4 linked regions of the Astyanax mexicanus genome follow. The protein of the gene in region 4 binds, or shares a complex with, the protein of the main gene of each other region. Links are inferred from orthologs where the notes say so. Each region holds a gene or a part of one and is shown on either strand. Other genes may lie near its edges.

Region 1 (8,014 bases), on a different chromosome or scaffold from region 4:
TACGCTGTGAGAGAATCCAGTAAGGCCAGTGTAGTTTGGGAAAGGTAGGTGTTGGCACTGTTGGTCACCAGAGACGATGCTCTACGGATCAGGGTTTCATGGGTCATGTTATCCTGTACATGCACACAATACAGACGCCAAAATATTAGACTGTCTTATTCAAAGCAATACATTTCTGATCACAATTACAGGTGGAAAAAAAATCATATTATTTACACTTTCCATATATTTTAGATTAGGGGTGTCCAAACTACGGCCCGCTGGCCATTTGTGGCCTGTTTCCTTTTTTGGAGCGGCCCGCGAGGAATTTTTTTATAATGTGAGATTCTAAGTTTGAACGCTAGGTGTCAGAAACTGACCAAAGAGTCTAAAAGCGGAGAGGGTGCGCATTTCTAGCACAGAAAAACGGGCCAAAGAGTCTAAAAGCGAAGAGAGTGCGCAGTTCTAGCGCAGAAAAACGGACCAAAGAGTCTAAAAGCGGAGAGGTTGCGCATTTCTAGCGCAGAAAAACGGGGCAAGGAGTCTAAAAGCGGAGAGAGTGCGCATTTCTAGCACAGAAAAACGGGCCAAAGAGTCTAAAAGCGGAGAGAGTGCGCATTTCTAGCGCAGAAAAACAGGGCAAAGAGTCTAAAAGCGGAGAGAGTGCGCATTTCTAGCGCAGAAAAACGGGTCAAAGAGTCTAAAAGTTAATATTAAGAGACATTATGAAATTAAACATCAATTTGAAAAATCTTAGTTTACACAACACTGTCAAAGATAAAGATAGTAAGTCAAGTAAAATGGTGTGTAAATGAAAGTAATCAGGAAAAAAGTATTATTTAAAGTGGTATATTTCATTATTTGTTTTATTATAGAGTCTGTGGCCCCTGACTTCAAATATATTTCTCCTTCTGGACCCCAACAAAAAAAATTGGACACCCCTGTTTTAGATACATGGCATTAAATATATATTTATAATTGATATATTAACCACCCAAGTGCAGCCAGTAAAAGCCTACTGAAAGATGAAGACGTGTGTTTTACTTTCAATCCTTTAGCTTTTAAAACTAAAAAAAAATTAGTTTTTTTGTTATAATGGTAATTTTAGTTTATAACAACTAAAATATCATTATCTACCACTTCTTGTAATTCAAAGAGTATTATCAAAACTTCAATCATGAGGCTTCATCAAACCTGCAAAAAGGGAACAGCACACAGGCCTCCAGAGACGCCTAAAGTAATGCAGTTCTTTCTAATTAAAGTCGGCAGTCTGCCGAGTCTGAGGCAGGCTCTGCTGGTGGTGCTCAGCAGGCTCGCTGCGACACTGAAAACAAAAGAGAAAACAGTCTTTACTTTCAGTTCAAACACTGCTTAGATAAGCATAAAGACACGAGTGTACCCTCATTTAATGCTGATGATGGAAAAACAACCTTTATTTAACGATGCCTAATAGGCATTGGGTTGTGTTGAAATACTGACTTTGAATCAAAATTATTTTAAATTATTTTATTATTTTAAATAGTTGGGGCTCTATTACACTCAGAATCAACACAGGACAGGCAATAGTAATAGAATACGAGTAAGATATACATATTTAAAGTGAGTAAAGTTTAATATAAACAATACATGTACAACTATAACGTGGAATACATTTTAAATCAACATAAAATAGATGTGCACAAATAAATACATTCTGACATGTGAAATGAACATTGTTTCAATGCATTAGCATTAGAGTAGACTACAGTAGAGTAGAGTAGAGGAGCTTTTAAAGTAAAATACAGTCCAGTAGAGTACAGTAGAGCAGCCAGTCGGGTATAGTACAGTACAGCAGAGAGGCCAGTAGAGCAGAGTAGAATGGAGTAGAGCACAGTATATTAGAGTAGAGTGATCAGTAGAGTAGAGCAGCCAGTAGTAGAGTACAGTGCAGTAAATTAGAGTACCGTAGAGCAGCCAGTACAGTACAGTTGAGTACCCAGTAGAGTACAGAAGAGTACAGTAGATTTGCGTACCCAGTACAGTACCTAGTAAAGTACAGTAGCCAGCAGAGTACAGTACAGTACAGTAAAATATAGTACAGTTCAGTAGCCAGCAGTAAAGGTGGGCAATATGGCCCTAAAATAATATCACAATATTTCATGGTATTTTCGCGATAACGATACTCTTGGAGATATGACAAAACATTCAATTAAAAATATATATATTTAAAGAATACATCTCTGCAACAAAATGAAAAATAGTATTATTGCATACGATATGATATGATATGCACACCTCTAACTGAGATAAAAATACAAAAAACACAAGAATTTCATCAGATTTGTAACCTAATAGAGTACAATAGACAGCAGATTAGAGTAGAGTACAGTAGAATATAGTAGAGTACAGTAGAGTACAGAAGATTACAATAGAGTAGAGTACCTAGTAGAGTACAATAGACAGCAGATTAGAGTACAGTAGAGTATAGTAGAGTACAGTAGAGTACAGAAGATTACAATAGAGTAGAGTACCTAGTAGAGTACAATAGACAGCAGATTAGAGTACAGTAGAGTATAGTAGAGTACAGTAGAGTACAGAAGATTACAATAGAGTAGAGTACCTAGTAGAGTACAATAGACAGCAGATTAGAGTACAGTAGAGTATAGTAGAGTACAGTAGAGTACAGAAGATTACAATAGAGTAGAGTACCTAGTAGAGTACAATAGACAGCAGATTAGAGTACAGTAGAGTATAGTAGAGTACAGAAGATTACAATAGAGTAGAGTACAATAGACAGCAGATTAGAGTACAGTAGAGTATAGTAGAGTACAGAAGATTACAATAGAGTAGAGTACTTAGTAGAGTACAATAGACAGCAGATTAGAGTAGAGTACAGTAGAGTATAGTATAGTACAGAAGATTACAATAGAGTAGAGTACTTAGTAGAGTACAATAGACAGCAGATTAGAGTAGAGTACAGTAGAATATAGTAGAGTACAGTAGAGTATAGAAGATTACAATAGAGTAGAGTACTTAGTAGAGTACAATAGACAGCAGATTAGAGTACAGTAGAGTATAGTAGAGTACAGTAGAGTACAGAAGATTACAATAGAGTAGAGTACTTAGTAGAGTACAATAGACAGCAGATTAGAGTAGAATACAGTAGAGTATAGTAGAGTACAGAAGCCAGTAGGAGTCACACAATACAGCACAGTAATACAAAACAATAGCAATACAACTATAGATAGTTCCTTCAACTCTAGATACATACATCTCAGTTACAATGAGGTATGATTAAACTACTAATTAATTACTAATTATTAACAATTAAAAATATTCACAATAAATAATAATGTCAACTATAGATAAAATATCTCATTTGAAAAACAAACAGTGCAGGAAATCCCTATCTACAAATATAAAGATATTACTGAAGAAGATTAGTATATAAAATCTGTATAAATAAGCTTTAATGTAGGTTATCTAAATAGGAAGAAGGAATATTCTGCCCTACAGCGCACAGCCCGGAGCCCAGCCAGTAATAACTGAGCCGTATCTGTTATCTGTAATGTGTATACTCTTAAAGCACACTGTGATCTCACTGATTTTAAAAAGCTGAACTGAATAAAAAGAGAAAATATAAAAACCTACCAGCCCACAGAGAGCACCTTCCTCCTGAACAGCGCCATGTTTCCCCTTAACACAACACAACACCACACAGCTCAACTGCGCCCCCAGCGGCCCCTGGACACACAGAACATAACATACAAACACACTAAAGAAAAGTTCTATTTTTTATTTGTCTATTTGAATTTGATGATTATAAGTCGTTCATCTATATGACTGTGTAATATAACGAATTAAATAGCAATGTGGAGGACAAAACATATGTTAAAACAATAATTTGTTCTTTTCGGTATTTATAGTTTTTTTCTTGATATTGAAAAAACAAATTTAACATACTGATTGAACAATTTAATTACAACTTATTCACAAAAAGTATTTTATTAAAGTTAAAATATTTTTTTTTAGTATGGGAATTTTTTTAATTTATTTTTTATTGCAGGCTTAGCAAAATATACAAACATGAAGTTTTAATACATTATTCTCATCATATATACACATTTGTTTGCGATTTTACATGAAGTGAACATTACAGAAAGTCTTTTTTACTTATTTTTTATTTATATATAGAAAGAATAATAAAAAAAAAATAATTAAAAATAATTAAAAATAAACCAGGAAGACTTTGTGTATTGTGTATTGTTTTAAAAAAAAGCACGGGTCATACTTTTTTTCTGGCTTATTTCTTATTAATTTAGTTTATTTATTTTTTTTATTCATTTTTCTTTTTATATTCTTTATATTTTATTTCTTTTGGTTTGTTTCTGCCTGATAATTTCTTGTAACTTTCTTATATTAATATGTCAGATTGCTGGTACCATTATTTTTTGTCCTTGAATGTTTAAATTGTATTTGTTATTAATATAGCTCTAATACAAAAAAATAATAATAAAACAATGGGTCCTGAACAGCAGGCGACAGCAAAGAGCTTTAGAGCTGCATCTCTCCTGCCACAGATTCAAACAGAGAGAGCGAGACAGAGCGAGACGCCCCACTATTATACTTCTATCAGTAAATACGTCTAACCACTAGGGGGAGCCCGCGAGTGAATCCTCAATCAATGGGGTGAATGGAGCTAAACGGCTAAAAACTCAAATTAAACAGAGTGCAAAACTACTTATCCGGGATATTAATTTGATTTTAGAAAGTATATTGAAGAATATACTAAACAAGAAAATAAACTTTACCTGTGTTTTTTCTATTGTTATAAAATAAACGTGTTTTCCTATTGAAAGGCGCTAGCATTGCTGCTAATATGTGCTGATTGGTTGGTTAGCTGAGACTTGGTCCCAAACTAGCTGCTGGTCTTAAATAGGAAAAACCTATTGATTTTCATTTTAACATGAAGTCACATTAGGGGCTCCGTATAGCAATCCAAGTAAAAGTAGATTAGCAGATATAAACTACCCTAAATAGATAAGTATTAATTTTAAAGGCCCTCTGGTGTCTGAGTAAAGACCCGCAGCAGATTGTCAGTAGTACAGTGGGAGCTCTGTGTATTAGAGAGTCTGCGCGTTACTAAGGGAAGGAGCGGCTGGAGACGGGCTGTGTGGAGCAGTGTAAACACTGAGCTCAGGATTAGCGCTCTGATCCACATAAACTTACCTACAGCACCGTGTTCCAGCAGATCTCTGCTGAATGATCCGCCTGTGGTGAGCTGGTACTATACTCCTCACTGTATGTGGTAATACAGATAGCTTAGATATTATTATAGACAGATAGGCTGTGTTTTATAAGCTAGGCTAGGCTAGTTAAGCTAGTTTTCTGACTAAGCTACCTGTTTAGCTTAGCCTTAGCCTAGCCAAAGTGAGCTAACGCTAAGAATCACCTGTAACAACAAAGATACAGAGCTTTCAGACCTTAAATACTGCAAAGAAAACATTCATATTTATAAAGTTTTAAGAGTTCAGAAATCAATATTTGGTGGAATAACCAAAAAACCTAGTTTTAAATCACAGTTTTCTCATGCATCTTCCCATGTTCTCCTCCACCAGTCTTACACACTGCTTTTGGATAACTTTATGCCTTTACTCCTTGGTGTTCAGCTTGGTTTGATGGTTTGTGATCATCCATCTTCCTCTTGATTATATTCCAGAGGTTTTCAATTTGGCAAAATCAAAGAAACTCATCATTTTAAGTGGTCTTTTATTTTGTTTCTCCAAAATATCCTAAACTAATTAAGCATACTTTAAAAAATATTAAATATTAAAATCTGCTCGTTCATGTTATCGAAAAGCAATGCAGTTTTCCCAGTGACATACAGGGATTAAGCCTAGTCTTGGACTACACAGCATTGTAAATGGAGATTTTCATTTCAAAGAAAAATATAGTTTATCGGATCCTAATCCTAATTTCTTTTCAGAAAGGGATAATGTTGAGATCTGCCAAAATAATATAATAACATATGGTGTCCATAATATAATTATCCTGACAAAACTAGCTCCATATTCCATATAGTAAATCAGACTTTATTCATATTTCTTTATTAAATTAGTATTTTTATTACATTTATGTAGTTTAAACAATTTTTGACTAACATGACCATTTAGTGAGTTATCTAGCTCAGGAGTTCTCAACTGGTCTGAGCCCGGGACCCACATTTTCTCGTGGTCATTAAGTTGTGACCCACTTTTATAGAATACAAACCAAACAAATTAATGTTTTAACATACCCATTTAAACATACATATGCATGCAAAGTGAGTTTAAGAGCATTTTCTAAAAAAGAAGAAACTGAGGAGGAACATGACAACTACATTTTTAAAAGTTACTGCAATAAAATTAAATATCAAAACTGCACAAAACAAAAAATAAGCCCACAAAATAAGATATTTAATTTCTTTGCATATCTCTGCATTCTGAGTACATAAGTAAGAAACTCTCTCTTTTTCCTCAATATAAAGGACAGTACAACATCAGATCAGCATGAATTATTTTTTCATTTAATTTATATTTTAAATGTATTTCTTTTTTATAAAGCTGTCTGTAACCCTCCCAGAACGTGTCCGTGTCCTGACCCACCAGTTGAGAATCGCAATAAACACCACTATGACTGAATCATGAGGTCACTGATTTAGATTTAAATTCCTCTAAACCTAAAATATAGGATGGAAAAGAAATGCTCTTTTCTGAAATCTGAGTGAGATGTAATCGCATGCTTCTCTTTAGAACAGCAGTTGTGGGTTTAATGGATATATTGGCTCTCTTCATATATATGTAATCACTTCCATATGTACAGAAAGAGTAGCTGACTTATTAGATTACACTGTTGCTTTCTTCTGTGGATCTGCTGTCAAGATATTCTACATCAGATATATAATTAAATTCAGAAACAGTTTTGTAAGGTTTATGTTTTATTTATTTATTTTATTTATTCATTTTATTTATTTATTTTTATTGCATTTTCGCTGTTGTGAATTGTGGGGTATATTATGTTGATATTAGTTAGCTGATTGATTAGTACTATCATTTTAATTACTGATTTCCAACCTACTGTTTAGTGTCTACTGTAAACTGGTTCACACTACAGACCTATTTTATACTATAATAAGAAAAATGTCTTTTTGTATGTATTTTTTTATTATTATTTTTGCCTTTCTTTCTTTCTTTTCCTTTATTCATCTTTTTTATATAAAAAAAATCTTCAGATGTAACTCATTTTCCAATCTTTTGCAGAGTCTTATGGCAGAGCTGCACATAATCGGACAGATTGTCGGGGCCAGCGGTTTCCCTCAGAGTAGTTTGTTCTGCAAGTGGGGTGTTCACACAGGTATCCAATCGTCTCTAATCTTATCTCACATCCCTCCAATCTTTTTAGTTTTGGTTGCAAGGTGTTTGCTTTTGTTGTTCATGAATCTAAACCTGGATTAGTTTCATTCTCATTGTGTCTCTCTCAATCTGCCCATCAGGAGGAGCATGGAGGCTCCTCTCTGGACTGAAGGAAGGACAGACGCAAGTGGACATGCCCCAGATAGGTGACACAGCTTACTGGAGTCATCCTATTGACTTGCATTACACCACTAAGGGCCTTCAAGGTATGAGTGAAATTTCAGTCAGGTATTCTTTTTTTCTAATGTTTTATTTTATTTAATAGTTAAAGATATTCATTATAGAAACACACAAACCCACATAGACACGAAAAAATGATGATTAAAAAAAGAAATCTCAACTCCACAGATCATTGATTATTAGCATATCAACTGTAAATATAAATAAACAAAAGGAGACATGCTATTGAGCCTGAAATTGGTCCCAATTGGTACCAATATCTAGTACTCTAGAAATATGTGGTCTGAAGTTTAGTTTAAAATGGACTCTAATAAGCTTTCGCTGCAGTTGTGTAAGCTATCCTCTCCCTGTGCCATGCGTAGGGTTGTGTGATTGGTTCACTCTCTAATGTAACTTCTTCCACTTATCATGTTACGTCCCTTTCT
Region 2 (7,166 bases), on a different chromosome or scaffold from region 4:
ATATTATGGCAAGAACTTCTTAACTAAGTAAAGAAAAATAAATAAATAAATAAATAATGAACGTCAGCCAATCCAAAACATTTCAGTTCGAACATTGAATAATCCTCAAGTGCAGTCACCCAAAGACCATCAAAAACGTTATAATGGTGAAACTGGCACTCATCAGGACCTCTGTTGTACAGGAAAAGTTAATCAGAGTTACCAGCTCTTTTTTTTTTTATCAGTTGCAAAATAACTTATAAAATTATTAAATTATTAATCATAATTAAAATTAATTGGCATTGTTATATTTTGTTGCTACAAGAATTAATCAAAAGCCGCTAAAGTTTTTTTTTTTTTTTGCCTTGGACTTCTATGTCTTCTACTGCTAAATGTACATCATTATTTGTAAGTCATTTCGGATGAAAGCATCCACTAAATGCAATGTAATGTAACATATTGTATAATATAGAATCATTTTTAATACGGATCTTGAATTCATATGACTTATTAGCAAATCAATCAAATAAAGATATATTTAAAACTATTAAACCAAGCAATAACTGACATGTTTTGTATATAGTACAACTATCTATTCTGTAACTGGTTATCCATACACCGTGTCTCTGGTTGGTTGAGATGTACTTACAGTTAGCGGTCTGTATACAGAAAACATCAGGGTTGATCTGGCGCTGGACGGACGTCTGCACTGCTGAAAACCCCTCTGCTGTGGTGCGGAGGGAGTACAGAGCTGCATCCTGAGTGCACAGTCTGGGGTCTCCACTGACCAAACACACATCAAAGTTCATATAAATATAATCAGTTATTCAGTACCAGTCAAAAGTGTGGACACATCTTCTCATTCTATGTTTTTATTTATATATTTATTTTTTCAAGTGATCCAGACTATGAAGGAACACATAAGGAATCATGTAGTAACTTAAAAGTGTTAAACAAACCAAAATACTCTGTGAAGAAGCATTTAGATTCTCTTATCTGGGGAGCTGTTTGTTAACTTGTGGTTTCTGAGGCTGGTAACTCTGATGAACTTATCCTGTACAACAGAGGAAACTCTTACTCTTCCTTTTCTGGGGCGGCCCTGATGAAAGTCAATTTAATCATCATAACACTTGACTGTCTTTGCAGTAACTGCCCTTGGAATACTTTTTTTCCTTAAGATCAGTTGAATGACCTTTTTCATTGGTTTCTTTACTTAGTTTAGTTCTTGCTTCTCATAGTAGGGATTAGAACATTACTCACTGTATACCTGTAACTCTACCTCTTCACAACTTTACATCTGATGCTCTCAAACACATTAAGAGGCAAGGAATTCAAGTAATTAACTCTTGACTCTTAACTCAGCACAGCTGTTAACTGAAAGCCTGAATTCTAGGTGACTCTACCTCATAAAGCTGACTGAGAAAATCCAGCAGAGATGTGCAAAATTGCCATCTAAGCAAGAGGTGCTACTTTGAAGAATGTAAAATATAAAACATATTCTGGATTGTTTAACACTTTTTGGGTTACTAAATAATTCCATTAAGTTTTACTCATAGTTTGGACAACTTAAGTATTAATCTACAAAGCAGAAAATTAACGTACGTGACTTTCTGGACGGAGCAGCGGGTGAACAGGGGCCGTTCCTGAGAGCAGTCCGGGTCACAGCAGCAGTTCACCTCACACTGATCACTCTGAACATCACACGGGCACAGATCTGATACTGCACCAAACCAACAACAGCAGATTAAGATTAAAAAGAAAAGCTTCATTGTTAAATAAACCTAAATTATATATTATACATTTCTTTCAAATCCAATTCAAGATGGGCTATTCTTCTACAACTATTTATGTACTTATCTTAAACACTGAATTGTGCGAAGAAGAAGGAAAACTGGTGGATTTTCCCTTTAAGACAGATTCTGTTTAAGTCATTATGTAGTACCCTGATTTACACCTGTTACTGTTCTTCAGTACTGTTCACCAGTTCACACATTTAGGTGATTTACAGCTCTGACACCCTCACTTTAACACTTTATCAGACCAGTTCCTTTAATGTCTGAGGTTTTCCTGCTCGAACAGGTGCTAACTGTTGTTAACACCCCAGCTCTAAACTCTTTTACACTCTTTGGGAAACACACACACGTTTGGGGATGGAGTTGTAGATCAGGGACTGAAACTTGAACAATGTCTTGATTACGGATTTGGATCCGTAAATTAGCTGCTATAATCACTTTGTTTAAAAAGAAGTCGGCTTATGTTTACAACATTAACGTTGTTTAGACGTTAGAACGGAGTTGGCTACGGCTGCGTATGTAGATCTCAAGGTTTAATACAGTTAGTTAGCTAGATAAACCAGCTGAAAATGCTGGTTAATATAACGTTTTTTGAACGTTACAGTCATATTTTAGGAATGCTATTTTTCAACGTTTCAACATTTATAAACGTTGCTAAATGTTCTAACACGTTGTGGTGCAAACCATTTACTTATTATGTTACACGTTATTAGAACGTTCCTGGAATATTACATCTGAAACGTTACAGGCTAACTTAACTTTCCTGAAACCTTTTCAAAACGTTGCTAAACTTTCTCATAACGTTCTCTGTTAGCTAAAAAGCTAGTTTTCTTCTATTTATTCCCCCATACGTGTGTACCTCGGGTAACGGGTGCGGGTAGGGATCCAGACAGCGGTAAGGGCAGGGCTGCGGTGCCGGCCCGGGCTAGGTCCGGCTCGGCTGTGGGTTCTGGAATCTCCGTTTCGGGAAAGGCGGTGCTGGGCTCGACTGGAGACGCTGCGGGCATCGATACCGGAGCTAAAGTGTAGTTTTCTTCCCCGGTCTCCTCCGTTACATTATCAGACTCATCCCAGCCGAACCTGGTCCGGTTCTGGTCTAAAACTGAGCTGTTAAATCCGCCAGATTTCGCCCAGAACCCGCAAAACAAACCGGCCAAAATTAATACCCGGAGCAGCGCAGCCATGCTTAACAACCGACACAGCGCAGCCCGTCTCCAGGAAGCTGAAATAAATGAATAATAGGACTTTTATTTTGTAATAAAGCCAATTTTTATGTTTTATTCCATATAATGGACAAAAATGAAAAACTATTTTCATTTGGCTAAATGCTACACATATTATTATTACAAAAAAATCAAACCTTAAAACCCAGGAAAAAAGGAGATCTATTACAGAAAAACGTATACATATACACTTACCTATACGTTACCTATGCGTTAACATGTAAAATCTTATTTATATATTATTAAATATAGAGTTACAATAAGAGACTTTTGTTTTGTATAAAAGTACCCCATCCCCTTTCTCAATACTCCTAAACCTGGACACAAATAATGGTTATAATTAAATAATAATTAATTTTAAAGTAATTGTAAAAGAGCACTAGATATTCACAATTTTAACATTCTGTGTATTTGCTTTTTATCAGCAAATAAAAAATCTAATAATTAATAGTAAACATCAAACATTTTTGATGGCTTACAGTTAACAGCTGTGCCTTGTAAATGTTAATTACTTGAACTTCTTGCTCTCTTAATGTGTTTAAGAGCATCAGTTGTAAAGAGGTAGAGTTGGTACACAGTGAATAGCCCTTTTTGACTATTTCTTTGCATAATATGGAGTTCGGTCAATCCGAAAAATTTCGAGAAATTCTGAAAAAGTTTTATCCTCCAGTGCAGTCGAAAATCGACCATCAAAAACGTTAGAAGGATGAAACTGGCTCTCATCAGGACGGCCCTAGGAAACAAAGAGCAAGACTCTAATACATCTGTATGACCAGTATTCATTTATAAATTAAAGTAATAAAGTAATATATTACAAACTTCAAAGAAAAATTATTTAAAATAATATTACTATTGTTTTATTGTTTCTTTGTTTTTGTTTTTTTTTATTGACACGCCCCCAAACGCTCTGATGGCCTGGAGCCACGTGACGCGAGTACCCGTATGTCCCGTGTACTTTTGCTCCTGAACGCGGCGGTGTTTTGTTTGCGCGAGAGTGCGGCGCGTGAAGATGTCGGTTGTGGGGGAGCACCGCGAGACCGGCTAGTGTTTAAAACCCAACGGAGAACCGGACAGAACCAGTACAGAAGCGGGACAGCACCGTAGAGGACGGGCGCGGGTGGACTCCACTTCTCTGAGCCGGAGTCGGTGTAACACGATACGGGGACAGACCTCCAGGCTCCCAGGCGGCTGCTGTGAGTCTCTCAGCCGGGCTGAGTGAGGGTCAGCCAGGCAGCAGACTCCTCCACAGACTGCCTCTCCACCTTGTGCTCCGGAGCTCTATGCCGGCGGCTGGCTGCCGGTGGACGCGGGCTCTCGGTTAGCGGCGCGTCGCGGAGACAGCGGGGATGTTGTCCGTGCTTTCCTACGGGAGGATCGTGGCCAGGGCCGTGCTGGGTGGACTGTCTCAGACCGACGGCCGCGACTATAGCCTGATCACGGCCAGTTGCGGCTTCGGCAAGGACTTTAGGAAGGGCATCCTGAAGAAAGGGATGTGCTACGGGGACGACGCGTGCTTCATCGCCCGCCACCGGTCCGCGGACGTGCTGGGTGGGTGGACTGCGTTCATTGCTTACTTAACTACTTAACTTGCCAGAGGTTCCTATACACCTACAGCTTTTATTAGTTTGTTACCTGTCAATCAATTAACTCACCTGTGAGCCTAATTCATTAATTAACTCAAATGTCAATCAATTAGCTACGCTGTTTATTGGCAGGTTCAGCAGTAGCTTTGTCAGGTAGTTCTCTCATCGTCTGCTGATTAGAACCATATATGTAGTCTAGCTACCTTAATTTCTTCTACTGTGTGTTAATTAGACGAGCTTAAATAAAATAAAATAAAAAATTTAATCATATTAACTAGCTTAATTGTCACGTGACATCAACAATACCCAACAATAGTATAGTATAGATGAGTGGAAACAAACCAAACAAACAAAAAATTGGGTGCGTAGTACTAGCACATATATATAAATATATATACACACAACACAAAAACATAATGAGTAAATGCACACACTGTATGTTAGAGCTTTCTAAGAGAATGTTGTTGGTTAACAGCTACACATAGTTTGTTCTGTCTAAAAACAACAGTAACTGTTTGAAGTAGGTTAGCTAACTCTGGCCTTACTTCTCTCTCATTTACTGATTAAAATGAGTCATATTTAGTTGTAAACAGCTGGTATTTAAGCTACATTAAGCATATTTGCATAGTATTATAGTGCATTCAGATACAGCCATTATAGCTAAGGTCATTCACAGAATGATGATTGACCTTCAGGGTTAAAGTGCCACCAGCATTGCATTGCACCACAAACAGACACACACACTCTAGCACACACACATACACACACAGTGTGTTTTCAGTGTGTTTGTGTATGTGCAGGAATCACCCTCACCTGAAATAACCTTACTTTTTTTTTGTTTTAACCATTTAATACACCTTTTAAGTTTATTCACAAAAGATGTAGCCAGATAACTAGGTTTCTAGTGATCTTGGTAAAACTATCCCCAAGCAGATGGCTGAGGGTGCAGGGTGCAGTGTATAGGGTGTAGTGAGCAGCCTGTGTAGGAGGTGACCTTTCACCTAGATACCTAGAGATCCAGCACGAGCCCCTGCGGCCACAATAACGTGAACACGCTTGATAATTTTAAGATTTAGGTAGTTTAATAAAGTGAAACACTCAGCTAAACAGCGTATTTATTAGTTTTAATGATCTAAGCTGCTATACCAGCATCATATCTACTCACTTCATTTGTAAACACAGCTAATAACCCGGATTGCACAGGAGTATCCACTATTAAAACCGGATTAAAAACTAAATGCATGCTCAGATATCGTTATCAATCTTCGAGTCGAACTTTGTAGAAGCGCGTGGTTGCTTTTTATCAAGAGCTTTGCAGTGTTTTGTATCGTAAAGGTCAGAATGGTTGAGCATGGAGGCAGCCATATTACAGCTCAACCACGTTGCAGGCTCGCACATGCGCACATCCACCAGCTGCTGCTCGTGAATTAAGAAATGAGCCTTTAAAAGAGCTTATTTCCATGTTCAGACCTTTTTATAAAGATTATAGACACCTTTTATCTTATTCAGACCCATCATATCCCACTTATATAGTTTAAAATTATGTATTATGGTGAATTAATACAAAACAAGGGAAAGCATAAACCATCTTTAAACATAATTATATGTACAGACGTTTTATTAAGATTGTAGACGCATTATCCATTATACAGCCATATCCTGTCCAAACTTAGATTGTTTAAAGGGATGTTTTAATGTGAATTAGTACAAAACAAAGATCAAAATTAAGCATAAATAACCCCCCTTTATTATATTAATAAACAACCACATGTTTATTAAACCAAGCACATATGCATGCATACAATTAGTGAAATAAAGGGTCGCTCAATACATTCTTTTATCGTATCAACAATATGTTTATCGAGTCATCACTGATTAAAGAGCACTGATTGTACTGTACATTTTATAAGAAAGAATGTAAAAATCTGTTTAATTGAACAAAGTGCAGCAATTGTTTTAACATAAATCATTGGATTATGCATGACAAAGTATCTGAATAGGAGTTATTCTGCCACTTCTGGTAAAAATAATGTGTATTATAGTATTATCTTTAATGTGCAAATATTTTCCATATACGTATTATTATTTTACAAGCACATATGTACAAATACTTAGCAGAATAAGAACTAAAATGGTGACTTTTATCTTGGCGCTTCTTTAAATGCAGTCAGGAACAAAAGGGGCTTTTGTGTAGCTTCCGGCTCAAGTTTCCTTTGTTATGGAGCCATGTGGGGGAACGAAAAAGCCGGCTGTTTAAGGCCCCCCACCCCCCAGTTCAGCTTCCCCAGTCTATTTTGTCTGTCTGTCTGATTATCTGATTATTAAGATACAGGTTTTGTATCAAACACATTGTACCATGACTTAAAGTAATTAAATATAATTTATTTAATTTGCCTTATGTTACAATGCTGGGGTAACAGTGAACACACTTTTTTTTAGTTCTGGGGCTAAGAATAATGCACGTTTGATTGTGCCTGGAGGATGCCAAAGGGAGCTCTGCCAACAAAGCAATTATTAAAGCTAAGGACTGAAACAGGAGCTGACTTAAAATAGCCAGTACCTAATCCATTAAAGGATGCTGGGATTTT
Region 3 (7,377 bases), on a different chromosome or scaffold from region 4:
CACACCCAATGCTGAGAGCACAGAGATGCCCGAAAAGGCAGAAGATCTGACAGAGGAGCCAGCTGAAACCGAAGCAGATCAAAACCCCACAGAGGAGCACAAAGACACAGATGACCAGGATGATGTGGAGCAGGCTGAGGCTGATCATGAGAATGCTCCAGAGAATTTGAGTGAACTGGTAAGAGAACTTAAAAATAGATTCAAGTTGTACAGTGAATCAGTGTCAGCCTGTGGGTATGCTAGAGAAATGGACAAAATAGAGATAATCAGTTTAGAGAAATCATAAATAATGTTTGATCATTTGTTTTAAATGTTCTTGTGATCTCTCAATATGTATTTTATTAGGAAGGACTTGGAGAATCTGACTTCCCTGATAATATGGATGAGTTTGTGACTCTGGATGAGCTAGCAGAGGAGGAAGATGCTGAAATGCACGAGTCTAAATCCAGGGATAAAAGCTCCTCAGGTACTGTCTAAATTCTGTGATTGTGCTTGTGTTTCTGATTGTAACATTAGAAGGCATGGTAATAGATGTATGCAACTCTTTCTTCTTCTTTTTTTAGGGAGATCAAAGCAGAGCCGTGTAAGTATTCGCTTTTTTCATGAAATTCCTTGAATATATTACTTGACATATATGTGTGATTACAAAAAGTAGTGCTGCTTTTCTGGAAAAATAAATAAATAAGTACATTCTTCCATGAATGTGCACCTAGATAATATATGTAAGTGGTAATCTTTACTGAATGTATAATTCAGTGGCTGATATACCTGTGTAAGTGTATGCTCAACAACTGCACTGTTTTGTAAGTGGACAATGATTTACTGTAATTTGTATGATTTTGAGATTTTTAAAGTTTATGCCTGTGACAATTTGTATTACTTTACTTTTCCTTTCCTAACTTTATTTACAGGAACTAAAAGTCGTCAATGTGGTTGGATTTAGGCGTGGCTATAATTATCTTGATGAGATTCTGTCTTTGGCCAAGCCTTTTGGGAAAGTGGTGCGACATCTGATCCTGAATGTGAGGCCTGAGGTAGGTTTTCTTAAACACACATTCTTTAATCTGATTTTAAATTTTGACAGTCAGAAGTGCGACATGCTGGTCAGGAGCTTTTTGAAGTGGTTCCTACATGTATCTGAACCTAGGAGTTTTTTGTGCCAGAATAGTTGGATTGTGCAGTTTTCTAGTATGGTGTAATAATGGGGGAAAAAAAACATTTTAAAAAGTGTCAGTTATGTCTTTATTACTGAGAATGTTTTGTAGCAAATGTCCAGACTGGCTGCTACCTAGGTGCAGTTGTGGTGAGCAAAAAAAAAAACACTTCAGAATGCAGTAGTACAGCAGTAGGTAATGGCCAAGGAAATAAAACTGAAGCATGTGCATCCCTGCGTGGCCATGATTTACCCATCATCTTCTAACTATATCCAACATATTAATGCACAATGTCGCAACTACTATTTTAACATACACTTTTGTTTTGTTTTTAAGGCCTTTCTTGAGCTTGCTAGTGAACAGGAAGCCAGAGCAATGGTTCGTTTCTACAATGGAAATGTTACACCATCTGTGTGTGGAAAAGCAGTGAAAATCTATCATTCTCATGTCTACCCAACCATCCAGGTAAAAAGGTTTTGTTAAACACATTTTTTTCTCCTTATTTTGACAGTTTTAATGTCTAACACAACCTATTGTCTTCTAGATTGGCAAAGTAATTTATGTTGGACACATTCCGGCCTTTAAAACATCAGATGCATCCCTACTGAAAATTGCAGAGCCGTTTGGCAAAATCAAACGCTACGTTTTAATAAGGGGACGTGGCGAGGTACTGGCTTGTGTGTGATGTATAATAACTTACAGAGTGGGTTATCTATGAAGTGGGTTATATTAGACTTTGTGTTTGATTCTAGTGTTTAATTGAGATGGAGAGGATTGAGGATGCAGAGAGATTTGTTGAGGCGGCCAAAGAAAATCCACCAACGTTTCAAGGCAAACCACTAGTTGTCAATATTAGCAGGAAATACACACAACTCAAACATGGGTTAGTGCTATTTTTTATTTTGTGATCTGTTTAATGCACAATTTTACATTGGTGTTTTGACTCTCTGAGTAGGTGAATTCTGGTGGTGTTTTGTTCTAATACACTTTCTACCCTGGCAGAGGCAGACCTCCAGCCCCAGAAACAGAAGACAAACGACCATCCAAGAGAGATCGCTCTGACGAAGAAACAGCAGCCGAGGTCAGCAAAACTAACAGCAGTAAGGAAGAAGAGCCACCAACCAAGAAGGTCAAAGAGGGAACATCCTGTACAGATAATGTGGAGGGTGTACCAGCAGAGGAGAAGCAGCAGGAAAATGAAAATCAAGCTGAAACTAGCGAGAGTGAAGCTGAAACGAAAATAAAGAACACAGAGGAAAATAGCAGTGATGCAGCTGAAGCTCAGAACATGGAGAGCACATCGGTTAGTTAATTTAGTTTGCTTCGTTTAAAGTTTTCTTTCAGATTACACTTTCAAAAATCTGTGGACACTGCTCTTAATTTATCTATAAACGTGCGCACACAAAGCTTGCCAAGAGATGTGTTATAGAGAAGTATCGCCAATAATAGGGACCGAAGCACCAGTACCACTTTTCCTTTTCCAATACTGCAACGACACCAGATTTTCAAGTATCTGAAGATACCAACCCTGAATTAACTTTATGAAAGGTGCCTATAAATCCTGCTATTTATAGCATTCTATTTGCTCTGATTAGAAATAAGATATATAAATATACACCCCCTCTGAACATCACACACCTGAAATAAGTCTGCACAAACAAGTGTATATCAACTTTCTCCCAGGTGAGATTGTTAAATGGGAAACTTTTTAATAAAGGTTACTTCAGCCAAAAGCAGAAATATCAGCTATTAGGTGATACGTTGACTTCAACCAAGTTTTAGTAATTCAGGCTTTACCTCTCAGTGCTGTTCAAATAAAGCACAAGTGTTCATATGTTTAACATGTTCATAAGACGGGGTTTTTGTGGGGTGTCATTTAACGTGTGAATTCTGTGTTCTATGATAAATGCAACCAAGGTATGTATCTTTCTCTTCTTCATGTAAATAACCTTTTTGGATTTAACTTTTTATTTGGTTGTGCCCTGTTAAGCAGAATGACGATTCTGATGCTACTGTTGTGCCTTCCGGTGTACCTTCTAAGAATGAGGAAAACAGTGAAGGTCTTACTGTTCCTGTGCAGTCTGTGAAAAAAACTACCCTAGACAGTCTGGGGCCATATGAACCTGATGTCCCAGTGGGTAAGCCAACAGTGTTTTCGTTAAAGAACATTTTAATATATTAAATAGAGATTTAGGAAACAAATATGTATAATAATAAATGTATATATGAGGGTACATCACTTTTGGCCCTTTGATGTTCTTGTAGGTGCAGAGTTTGTGAAGATGGGATATTATTGCAGAGTCTGCTTCCTTTTTTACTCAAATGAAGACACCGCTAAGAAGGTCCACTGCAGCAGCCAAGCACACTACAACAAACTTAAGGTGCTTTATTACAGCTAAAATAGCTTTAATTTATCATATGTTGCATGCAAGAATAAAAAATCTGACTTTTTTTTTTTTGTTTTCTTTTTTTTTTAGAAACACTTGGAAAAGGAGAAGGCAAAAGCACAAAGAGAAAATATGACCAGAGAGTAACACTGGGAAGAACTGAAGCTATAGGAGATGATGTCCTTGGTACTATACAGTATTTGATAGTGCATGAGCTGTTAGTGCAGTATACTGATATAATGTATATTATACTGGTATAATGTATTTTCAGTAAGCTGATTCATTTGCCATATTTTTTTCCCCTTTTTTTTATCTTACTAGATCCTAGAACACATTCATCTGCTGTTACTTTCTGTCTTGCCATATTAAAAGTATTCCTTCAACTATTTGCTGGTTGTGACTGATTCAGCACTACAGACATACAATAAAACTTTCATTATGGTCTGTCCCTTAAACTGTTTCGTGTCTGGTTTGTAAAATGTATGTTAATAGTAAAATGTTAAAAGATAATAGTATCACATTCCAGTTCTTTGCTCTTTATTGGGTGAGTGCAGCGTCTAATTACTTTAATGAATAATAGAAATTAGAATACTTTTAGGCAAACAATTGGCCTGGTTTACTGATTAGTGATTGATGTCTTTGCAAGAGGAAATTTTAAAAATAAGGGTTTACTGAGTGTTCTTTCTGCTTGCATGCACCAGCGTGCTGAAATAACCCTCCTACATTAATATATTTAAGATAATTGGATTGAATATAGATATCTTATAATTGTATTAGTTATATTTAGAAGATTTTTGAATTTGGGTAATTGAACACTGACGCAATAAATGAAATCACATTACGAAACATGCTGGTAATTGCATTAAAAGATGTTTCTCAGTTTTACCCCAATTTTATTTTTTCTTTTAAACTGAAAGCGTGTCCTCGTGCGTGTGTGCGCTCTCGCTCTTACGCTGTTTCTGATTGGATGGACTTAAGTCAGACGCTAGCAGGTCCCCGAACTCTGATTGGACAACTGTCCAGTTACCGCCCTAGGATGACGCCGTCTCCATGGTATCCAAAATGGCGACCCACGGTAAGACGTATCCAAGCTGATAGTAACTAGTTAAAGCAGAGAGGCTAAAATTACCGGATAAATATATTTAATATATAATAAACAGGTTTAGGACGAGTAAACTCATTGTTCCGGTCATTTTACAGTCAGATAAACGGCGTTTCTCCCGCTGTTCTGCTGTTATTTTCCGAGAAGACGCTGTTCTTTCTCTCTGTTGGGACTAAAACCTCAAACCCGAGTTTGTGTGAGGATGATGTTGATAATTCTGCTCTCTGAGATAAATCAGGCCTGGAGTGGAAAAGTTTTAGACGGTTTTACAGTTCCTGTTCTAGCAGAAACAGCGAAGCATATCCGAATGATTCTTCTTATCGTTCAGTGAAGCTCAGATAATTACTACACTCCAGTCCATTACACTAAACAAAGCGAAACAAACAAAATATAGCTACACATATATTAGGCAAAATAATCTAAAAGGGATAGAAATATTAATATATCTAAATACACTAAAAGTTATATGGCAGCAGCTGTAATTGCACAGTAGGAATGTGCTGACCCTATATCATATCATACAAAATATTGGGATATGTAAGATTAAAACAGTCCATATTGTGCGCATTTAAGCTTACTAGCTACTGTAATTGTTTGCTCTAAGACATTATTTTTATGTTTTGTTGCTACGTTATTTATTTTGTTAAAAAAATCAACAGTCTTGGTAAATTCCTGTTGTTTGCAAAATAGATGAAGTAGTATGTTTTCGAAATTTTTATATATATATATATATATATATATATATATATATATATATATTATATGAAATTTTATTCATATAATTATCTTGTTTCTCTCATTTTCTTTTTCATTACAATTTAGATTTGTTTATATACTGTTGTATTTGTCTTGCTGTGTTTATTGTTTATTACTGTTTGTAGTACCTAGAGCCTGTTTCTATGTATAAAAAGGTATATAAAAGTAAAAAATTAAGTTATTAGTATAAGTATTATTATTATCATCAAATATATAGAATCAGGCCAATGACAATGCTGCAGTATAGTTCCATCCTCTGCTAATAGTTTGTGGTGCTTAATTTGAGATTAATTTATTATCAGTATTCTGTAAAACTGATTTTTATTTAAATTTTTGTAATGCACTAGATTTTTACATTTTGTTATTTTTTCTCTTCCAGGAAAGCACCCCATTGTATCCTTTTAGTGCAATATTATCTCTTTCCTGCTTGTCTTTCTTTACTCCTGTGTTGTCTCAGGGAAATGAGTAATATAACAGTCTATTATTAGTCTTCTTAACAGAAGATCTCAGTTGTCCTCCACACCCCTGCAGGTCCTCTTTTATTTAAACAGCTGGTATTTTGCTGTGTTCTTCATCGCTGAGATCTTAATGTTTATTTATAAAGGTAAAGTATCACAAGAAGTATTCTGCTCTGATATGTGTATTTTATATTAACAATAATACCATCAAACATACTGTTTTTAATTGTTTTTAGGAGTGTTGCTCCCATACCCGCAATCAAATCTCATACTTGACATTGTGCTGCTTCTTCTCTACCTTGGCCTTGAAACCCTCAGACTGTTTTACGGTCAGTGTACGACGCAGAATTTTATTTCTATATTTTAACACACACTAATAAAAAAAAACTGCTGTAGACTCAGCATGCTGGTATGTCTCAGGCAGGCAGTTAAATTATTAAAGATGAAAAGTGCTTCCCTATAAGATTGGTCTCAGAGGCTACTTTTGGGTAGTGTACTTCTCACAGAGAGATCATTAACTGATAGACTTGCCTCTGATGCACTTAAGTGTGCACATTATTTCTATTTCTATGTACTGTTTTTACTACTAAAAGTATGCTTTCACTCTAATATCTAATTTTACTACATATATTTACATTACATTCACACAAATTTTTCTTGTTTTGTTTTTGTCTGTGAGTGTATTTCAGACCTGTAGCATTTTTAATGACTGTAGGACTTCTGATGTTTCTGTTTTTGTAGGCTGGAAGGGAAACCTGTGTGAGCGCACTCTGACGCTATCCATTAGCATTGGTGTCCTGGTGCCTTGTACTGTGCTGAGTGTCTATTATCTGCTACTACAGACTTTTGTTCTTCGCCTCGAGTTTATCCTCAACGCTGTATTGCTGTGCTTCTATGGTCTGGAGCTGATTCTGGGTCTTATAACCATCTCAGCTTTTGCCAGGTATAACTATGATTTTGTATGACATGAACTGTGCTTTAGCAATGACTTAATTATACTGAACTGTTTCAAATTCAGCCCTTAAATAATTGTTTTTGGCTAATATTTTTACAGCACTTAGACCATGTGTAATGCTAATTCTCATAATTTTTTTAAATGATTATCTTTATGTTTTTTCTTTCAGGGCTGTTGTTTACTAGACCTGCAGGTGCTGATGAAGAACAGTTTTGTGCGTTCCTTGGGTGTTAGCGGATTTTCGGTGTGCCAATGTATCATCACTACATACAGTACATACAGAGTACAGCACTTGGATCTGCACGACTCTGCACACTGCTCCTTAACTGCTGTTAAATATTGGTTATATAATGACCTTTGACTTTATGACTTTAAGTCGTTGCATTTATTTAGTGTACACTTTCTTTTTTGTACAGATAAATGTGGTTTGTATGGTGTCTTTTTGTAATAAAATAAAACTTTTTTTTTTTTGTATTTTTTTCTTGTAAGCTTCTTTTGTTGCCAACTTTGTTTGAATTACTGGAGCTACTCCTTAAATTTAAGTCCCAGATTTACACTGCCCAGT
Region 4 (6,958 bases):
AATATTGCAAGACTAATAGACTTTAGGAAGTGCTGATATAACATAAATATTATTTTACTGTTTTAAGCATGCTTTTACTCATAATGGATTCATATGTTTCTTTTGCCACATAATGGCTACACTGTGACCTTGTACCACAGCTAATGTTTAAATCACAGCATCAGACAGAGACTGCATGCATTTAGGATATAGGAGTTGTACAAGCAGGAAACCCTTGCTGTCAAAAACACAGATTATAGTGTTATAGTGCAGATATTTATAAAAACACATTATGCACTTGCACCACAGAATACAACACCACTGAATACAATATTGAAGGCTGCTCTGATAAAGATAAAGACAAGCCTGAAACAAAATAAAAGAGTCCTCCAAGGCCGAACCTTTTCCTCTGTCTATTCAAATGTGCTCCTCACTGACATTCTTTCACGCTGTGTGTATTCAGTGTCCTGTCTGTTCTACACTGGTAAAAAATAAAGGGTCCATTATGTGATTTTAATGTGCAAGTAAACCCTTTTTTTCTAGTCATGACATGTTGCATGGCTATGCATATTTTAGGGATGCACCAAATATCCGCTTAATTAGATTATTTGATCAAACACAACAAAAATACCAAATAATGTATATCAAACATCAGTGTGCTTTGTTTGTATGTCTTCTGGGGTATTAAAAATGTTCAGCTTTAAGTTTAAAAAGCAAGATATAATAAGGATTTGAAATTAAACCACAGTATAAGGTATTTTAATGTTGACATCATAGAACAGATTTAACATGGGATCAAGATGTCCACAAGTAGCCATCATGTATTGTTAATACGTCTGTTCGATCTAAAATACTCACCCAGGATTTTTCCTTCAGGACACTGACATTTACCATCCTCCCCCACAGCGCTTGGACACTGGATACACTCGTAACCATCCTGACTAACACCCTGCAAAATACAGCCGGGTTATTGTTTAACTGTCTAAATGCATATTATAAACATGGTAATATATTTAAAGACACAGAGCGGACAGATTAATACCGGTTTTGAGTCAGGGCACTTTTGACAGGTGACTGATCTTCCATTGCTGGTTAGCACCTTGAAACCTGTCTGACACACGCAGCTCAACCCTGTGTCAGAGCACAAACCTCAGGTTAATGATAATAAGCTTAGTTAAAGTTAGCAACAGCTCAGATCGCAAGACCCTACAGCAGATGGAGGACAGCCCTCCATCACTGACATCTACACCACAGGCTGCATCCACAAAGCCACCAGCATTGTAGAAGACCCCACCCATCCCTCACTCTTCGCTCTGATGCCGTCCGGCAGAAGACAATGGAATATCCATGCCTCCACTACCAGACTCTGCAACAGCTTCATCCACCAGGCAGTCAGACTCCTCAACACACAAAGACGGAATTGACCCCCCCACCCACCAAACAGCCACAAACTGACTATTGTATTGTTGTTCCATGTTGCTCCATGGTTCCGAAGGAATGTAATAAGGCATGATATGGTGTAATAACAAAAGATTTGGTTTGTTGCCTGAGGCAACACTATGCCATAAAGCAGTGGTTCTCAAACAGCTGTCTTTTCAGCTACAGCTGTATTTTAGCAAACTTATAGACTGTGTTATATCTGTTTTATTGCTCTTTTATATTTGCATTGTTCATTGTAATCTTCATGTTGTTTTTTAGGTGGACAATTTCAAGATCTGTCCAGGGACAACGGATGAAAAATAGCCTTTAGGCTAATTCTGGTGCATTTACAGTAATGTTAATGCACCAGTTGCTCTTCAGCGCTTAAAAAGCAGAAGTTCGCTCCTTCAGATGATTTTATCGCCGGATGCCAGATTGGACCTGGCCAAGGAGATGATGACAATATAAAATGCAGACTCTGTGCAACGTGTTCTGGAAGCACGTCCACATTACGATGCAGAATTTGCAGTTTCATATAAAACAGGGGTCAGATCAAAGCGGGGCCGAGAATTTCACTGGGGTATGCTGATCGCTTTCTGAGTGTAAATTCTCCTGGCACTTGTCAATAAACTTGTGAGCGTTGGAACATCACTTTTGATCTTGAGAGTCTTCATTCTCCATACAACGAACACGCAGGACTCAGGTGTGGTAAAGAGTTCCAGTCCAACAATATTATAATAATATAATTGTTATATATTATCTACTAGAGACAGATTATATCTGTCCAGTATAATTTATTTAACTTTAATCCTGGATATATGGAGATATATGGAGTGCGTTATTAGTATCATGACATTCTGGATCATTGACTTCTGTTACAAATCTGCTAAAAAGTTTTAGGGGTGTGCCATATCATATTATATGCAATAATAAAATGTAATTTAATTTTGTAGTAGTGTATGCTTTATTTTTTTATTCAGTGTTTTGTCATATAGCCAACAGTACGGTTATCGTCAAAATACCATGAAATATTGTTGTGGTATTATTTTAGGGCCATACCACCCACCCCTACTTGTAAGGTTTAGTTTGGCCATAGAGGGTTAACTTCACTAACGTTAATCTAGGTAACTAGGTTAAATAGTTAGCTATGCTAGTTAGCTAACTATCTAACAACGCCATGGTGGTGGTAGTGCTATACAGCCCCAACACAACAGTAAACCAGTGAACAGAAGCTGTATCAGACAGATATATACCCTGAATCTGTTTTATTATCTAAATTAAAAGCCCTGTTCCCTACCTAGCCACAGTTAGCCCGCAGTTAGCCCCGCTAGCTCCTGCTGCTGCTGCTGTTATTTAGTTAGCGTTAGCTGGGTTAGCTCTACCTGATTTCCCGCTGATTTGATTCGCTCCACACTTCGCGCAGGATAAACTGGATATATCGAAATACCCCCCGGGACCGCAGTCCGCCGGCTGAGAGAAAGATATAGAGAACTGCTCGCAGAAAAACGGGTTAAACTGCAATAATATGAGGAAAAAGCAGAGGAAAATAAGCGGTGATTGTAGCGTCCCCGTCGCCATGGTGCAGAACAAAAAGCCCCGCCCCTTCCGGCGATAAACACTCCTTTCCTCTCCCAGTTAGTTCAGTTATACAGCTCTGGAAAGAGATAAGAGAGCACTTAAAAATTATGAGTTTCTTTGATTTTACCAAATTAAAAACCTCTGGAATATAATTAAGAGAAATATGGATGATCACAAGCCATCAAACCAAGCTGAACTGCTTGAATTTTTGCACCAGGAGTAAAGGCATAAAGTTATCCAAAAGCAGTGTGTAAGACTGGTGGAGGAGAACATGCCAAGATGCATTAAAACAAGGGTTTTTACTCCAAATATTGATTTCTGAACTCTTAAAACTTTATGAACATGAACTTGTTTTTTTTTTTGCATTATTTGAGGTCTGAAAGCTCTGCATCTTTTTTTTTATTTCAGCCATTTCATTTTTTTTTTTTTTTTTTTTTTGCCAAAAAAGCTCTAAGCTCTAAATGACAATACTTTTATTTGGAATTTGTGATAAATGTTGTCCGTAGTTTAGAGAATAAAACAACAATGTTCATTTTACTCAAACATTTACCTATAAATAGCAAAATCAAAGAAACTGATTCAAAAAGTAAAGTGGTCTGTTATATTTTTTCCAGTGCTGTATGTTCCAGTGATGGAAAAATATAAGGATGCTATTTTCTGTCCTCAATCTCTGTTTAGTCCTTAATATATAAATGAAACCTAATGAACTGAAATATGCATTTTTTTTTTCATTCATTGTATTTTTTTTTAATATTTGATATTAACTGTATTTTTATACCACAAACCATCCCTAAATAGTAAAATAAACTATTGCGTTGCATTTATTTTTTATTTATTTTTTTGCTGTAACTTTTGGTAGGACAGTAACGCAATTTCAATTCACTGTATGTCCTGTACATATACTGTTCTGACAATAAAACTACTTGACTTGACTATGCAGGACTCAATAAACAGAATATACTCCCTCTTTTTCCCTCCAGGCCATAAGACTCTAAGTACAGCAAACTAAAAACTCTGTGACACTTTTTCATTCTGGCCACTATGGTCATTCCAATGGACATTGTTATGTCTTCTTGTCCTTCCAGGACTTCTCTTTGGGTGTTCTTGGACGGTTGTCTTTCTTGAAATAATACTCAGTGCACACTGCCTTCTTAATCGGAACAAAATATTTTGTTTCAATCAGAAGCAAAGTGTGGGAGAGAGCTTGTCAATTCTCGGTGTCCCAGTTCTCTCTCTCTCTCCCAGTCTTGTGTTTTGAACAGCTTATATACTCTTTCACAGTCACTTATATGGTACTCTGCATACCTAAAGAATTCCAACCACCCTATTTACAGCTTCACCATATATATAGAAATGACCTTTTGAGAAGCGGTACGTTGTTTACCTGAAACCACATGTGACATTCCAACATGTATAGAATTCTCAGAAATAGTTCAGCTGGACACATGAACCCATCTGGGCTAAAGGCTAGAAGGGACAAACATGCATAGTACAGAATACAATCAACATATCCCCATCTCTGTGAACACACCTTCTGATATGCCCTGTTATATTATTTTTTTATAGTTTTATCCCTTTTCTGTACTAATAGTTTATTTATTGCCCACTGTTTACATCTCTACAAATTTGCACTGCTAAATTTAATCTGGGTATAACACATCTGCGTTCTTGCACTGTTTGTATGGCTGACATCAGTTTTCACATCAACTGGTTTTCATTGTTGTTTTACTGTTTTTAACTGCACTACCTCCATCATTACACACAAACTAAATAAGACTCTACTTGTTGTATTATTATCTGTATTATTATAGCTTATCCTTCTTTTGTAGCTTCTGAGTACTGTATATCTGCTATTGGATGTGTACTGAATTTCGCTCTGGGATCAATAAAGCATCTATCTAAAATAGAAAATATATCAAATATACAGAATAAACTAAAAATGCATATACTAAATATACAGGGATATACAATAGTGAATATACAGAATAGAAAATATACTAAATATACAGTAATATACGAAAATAAATATACAAAATAAACTAAAAATGCATATACTAAATATACAGTGATATACAATAGTAAATATACCGAATAAAAAATATACTAAATATACAGTAATATACGAAAATAAATATACAGAATAAACTAAAAATGCATATACTAAATATAGAGTGATATACAATAGTAAATATACAGAATAGAAAATATACTAAATATACAGTAATACACGAAAATAAATATACAGAATAAAATAGAAAATATCCTAATTATGCAGAATAAACTTAAAAATATACTAAATATACAGTAATTTACAAAACGAAAAGCGCATAATAAAATAGAAAATAAACTACATTTTAAGAAATATGATATTATTATTATTAGTAGTAGTAGTATTAGTATTATTCACACAGTAATATTAACTCTGTTTCTTTAAAAGTTCGTAAAGTTTATTCACAGTTCCATTGGCTCTCCAGACACTGTTCGCCCCGCCCCCTGCAAAGCCTCCTCCCCGCCTATTGGCTGTGCACACTTCCTGCCGCTCCGCCCCTTTAAAAGTTGTGTGGAGAGAGCGCGCTGCCTCTGTCTGAAGCACGAGGCGTTAGGTTGAGGCTGAGCTCGCTGTGAGGCTTGTGAAGCTTGTGAAGTGAATAAACGCGGGTGTTTGGAGCGCGGTTTAAGAGTAGTGTCCGTTTTTTCAGGAGAACTGAGAGGTGAGTGGGGTGTGGAGGAGCTGGCAGTGAACCGTTTTTCCTGTTTCTGTGTTTCAGAGCTGCTGGTTCTTCTTCTGCTGCGGAACAAAGTAGGGGGGCAGGAGGCTCGTGGGGGCTGCGGTTCAGCTACACGGGGCTGTACCGCGCTGTGTGGCGGATTAAACTGCGCCCGATGCGGTTTCTGGGTTGAAATTCTCCTCAAGCTGTGTATTCTTTTGTGTTTTGTATCTCTCAGCAGTGTCACGTGTTCGACGAGGCAGTTTCCCGCCATCATGGTGATAGTGCGGCGTTTGCTGGGCCTCAGTGCCGATGCAGGCTCTGAGGACATTCGCGCCTTCTTCCACGGCCTACACATTCTTGAGGGTGGAGTTCACATCATTGGTGGCAAGAGAGGAGAGGCTTTTATTATTTTTACCACAGAGGAAGATGGACAGCTGGCCATGGAGCGCTCTGGGGAGATTCTCAAGGGATCATCGGTAACCCTTGAGGTTAGCAGCATAGCTGACTTGAAACATAAAATTGAGTTACGCTTAAAAAAGCAAAGAAGCTCAGGAGTGGAAAACAAGAAGTCTGATGCAGAGAGGAAGAAGGAAAAAATGGAGAAAGAGGCGGAGGAGAAGAAGAAAGCAGAGTATAAAAGAAGAAAGCTGGAGTTGGAAAAGAAGGCATTGGATCCAAGGCCAGCACCAGAACCGCAGCCATCAAAGTCACCAACAGACTTGGGCACAGCTCTACTACTGGGCCTAGTGGCTGCTATTCAAGGATTACAGTCAAACCATAACAACAACATCATTATCAACAACAGTAGCAGCAGCAGCAACAACAACCAAGAAAGCCAAGCCCAGTCTCTGCCAGTCAGTTCTCACCCATTACCTGCTTTACCTGAGCCATACCATTCTAAAAACCATACAAATCAAAGAACAGACCATCATACGTACAACAACAATAAAAAGAAAAACTACAACCACAGCTACAAACTGCAGGAAAGCATTCCACAGCCAGTGAGAAAAGTGCATATTGAAGAAGAAAAAGAAGCAACAGCAGCAGCACCTGAGAGAGGTAAGGCCAAGACCAACTGCAACGAGCCTGGATATCTTCGTCTTTATGGGCTTCCCAACAACGTGACCCTACAAGATGTCCGCACTTTCCTCCAAGGCCTCTCTGTGCTGGATTTCATACCAAATGTCTTCCTAGGCCGCGACCAGTGCTGCCTAATAAAGGTGGCTACTTTGAAACAAGCTGAAGAGGGCCTAAAGTACAGCCACATGAGC

Evidence for each region.
Region 1: tmem67 (region 4) and b9d2 share a complex: the UniProt entries of both Homo sapiens proteins name them as parts of the tectonic-like complex. The link is inferred for Astyanax mexicanus from reciprocal best matches to the Homo sapiens genes TMEM67 and B9D2.
Region 2: tmem67 (region 4) and tctn1 share a complex: the UniProt entries of both Homo sapiens proteins name them as parts of the tectonic-like complex. The link is inferred for Astyanax mexicanus from reciprocal best matches to the Homo sapiens genes TMEM67 and TCTN1.
Region 3: tmem67 (region 4) and tmem216 share a complex: the UniProt entries of both Homo sapiens proteins name them as parts of the tectonic-like complex. The link is inferred for Astyanax mexicanus from reciprocal best matches to the Homo sapiens genes TMEM67 and TMEM216.

Annotation. Positions count from the first base shown.
Region 1 is NC_064424.1:5,646,540-5,654,553, forward strand, and holds the start of b9d2 (B9 domain-containing protein 2), read left to right. Parts: upstream 1-5,010; 5' UTR 5,011-5,242; intron 5,243-7,256; 5' UTR 7,257-7,262; coding exon 7,263-7,350; intron 7,351-7,489; coding exon 7,490-7,615; intron 7,616-8,014. Other genes in the region: diablob (diablo, IAP-binding mitochondrial protein b), read right to left, coding at 1-113, 1,174-1,303, 3,610-3,647. UniProt on the Homo sapiens protein: Component of the tectonic-like complex, a complex localized at the transition zone of primary cilia and acting as a barrier that prevents diffusion of transmembrane proteins between the cilia and plasma membranes.
Region 2 is NC_064427.1:20,757,786-20,764,951, reverse strand, and holds the start of tctn1 (tectonic-1), read right to left. Parts: upstream 3,003-7,166; 5' UTR 2,957-3,002; coding exon 2,632-2,956; intron 1,700-2,631; coding exon 1,582-1,699; intron 763-1,581; coding exon 629-762; intron 1-628. Other genes in the region: pptc7b (protein phosphatase PTC7 homolog), read left to right, coding at 4,342-4,543. UniProt on the Homo sapiens protein: Component of the tectonic-like complex, a complex localized at the transition zone of primary cilia and acting as a barrier that prevents diffusion of transmembrane proteins between the cilia and plasma membranes.
Region 3 is NC_064417.1:38,790,573-38,797,949, forward strand, and holds tmem216 (transmembrane protein 216), read left to right. Parts: upstream 1-4,372; 5' UTR 4,373-4,591; coding exon 4,592-4,616; intron 4,617-5,778; coding exon 5,779-5,792; intron 5,793-5,909; coding exon 5,910-6,003; intron 6,004-6,093; coding exon 6,094-6,186; intron 6,187-6,598; coding exon 6,599-6,800; intron 6,801-6,981; coding exon 6,982-6,997; 3' UTR 6,998-7,281; downstream 7,282-7,377. Other genes in the region: uncharacterized protein matr3l1.1, read left to right, coding at 1-178, 346-466, 564-583, 912-1,034, 1,491-1,619, 1,699-1,821, 1,907-2,037, 2,157-2,457 and 3 more. UniProt on the Homo sapiens protein: Part of the tectonic-like complex which is required for tissue-specific ciliogenesis and may regulate ciliary membrane composition.
Region 4 is NC_064408.1:110,661,420-110,668,377, reverse strand, and holds the start of tmem67 (meckelin), read right to left. Parts: upstream 3,001-6,958; 5' UTR 2,977-3,000; coding exon 2,781-2,976; intron 1,111-2,780; coding exon 1,022-1,110; intron 929-1,021; coding exon 838-928; intron 1-837. Other genes in the region: rbm12ba (RNA binding motif protein 12Ba), read left to right, coding at 5,960-6,958. UniProt on the Homo sapiens protein: Required for ciliary structure and function. Part of the tectonic-like complex which is required for tissue-specific ciliogenesis and may regulate ciliary membrane composition.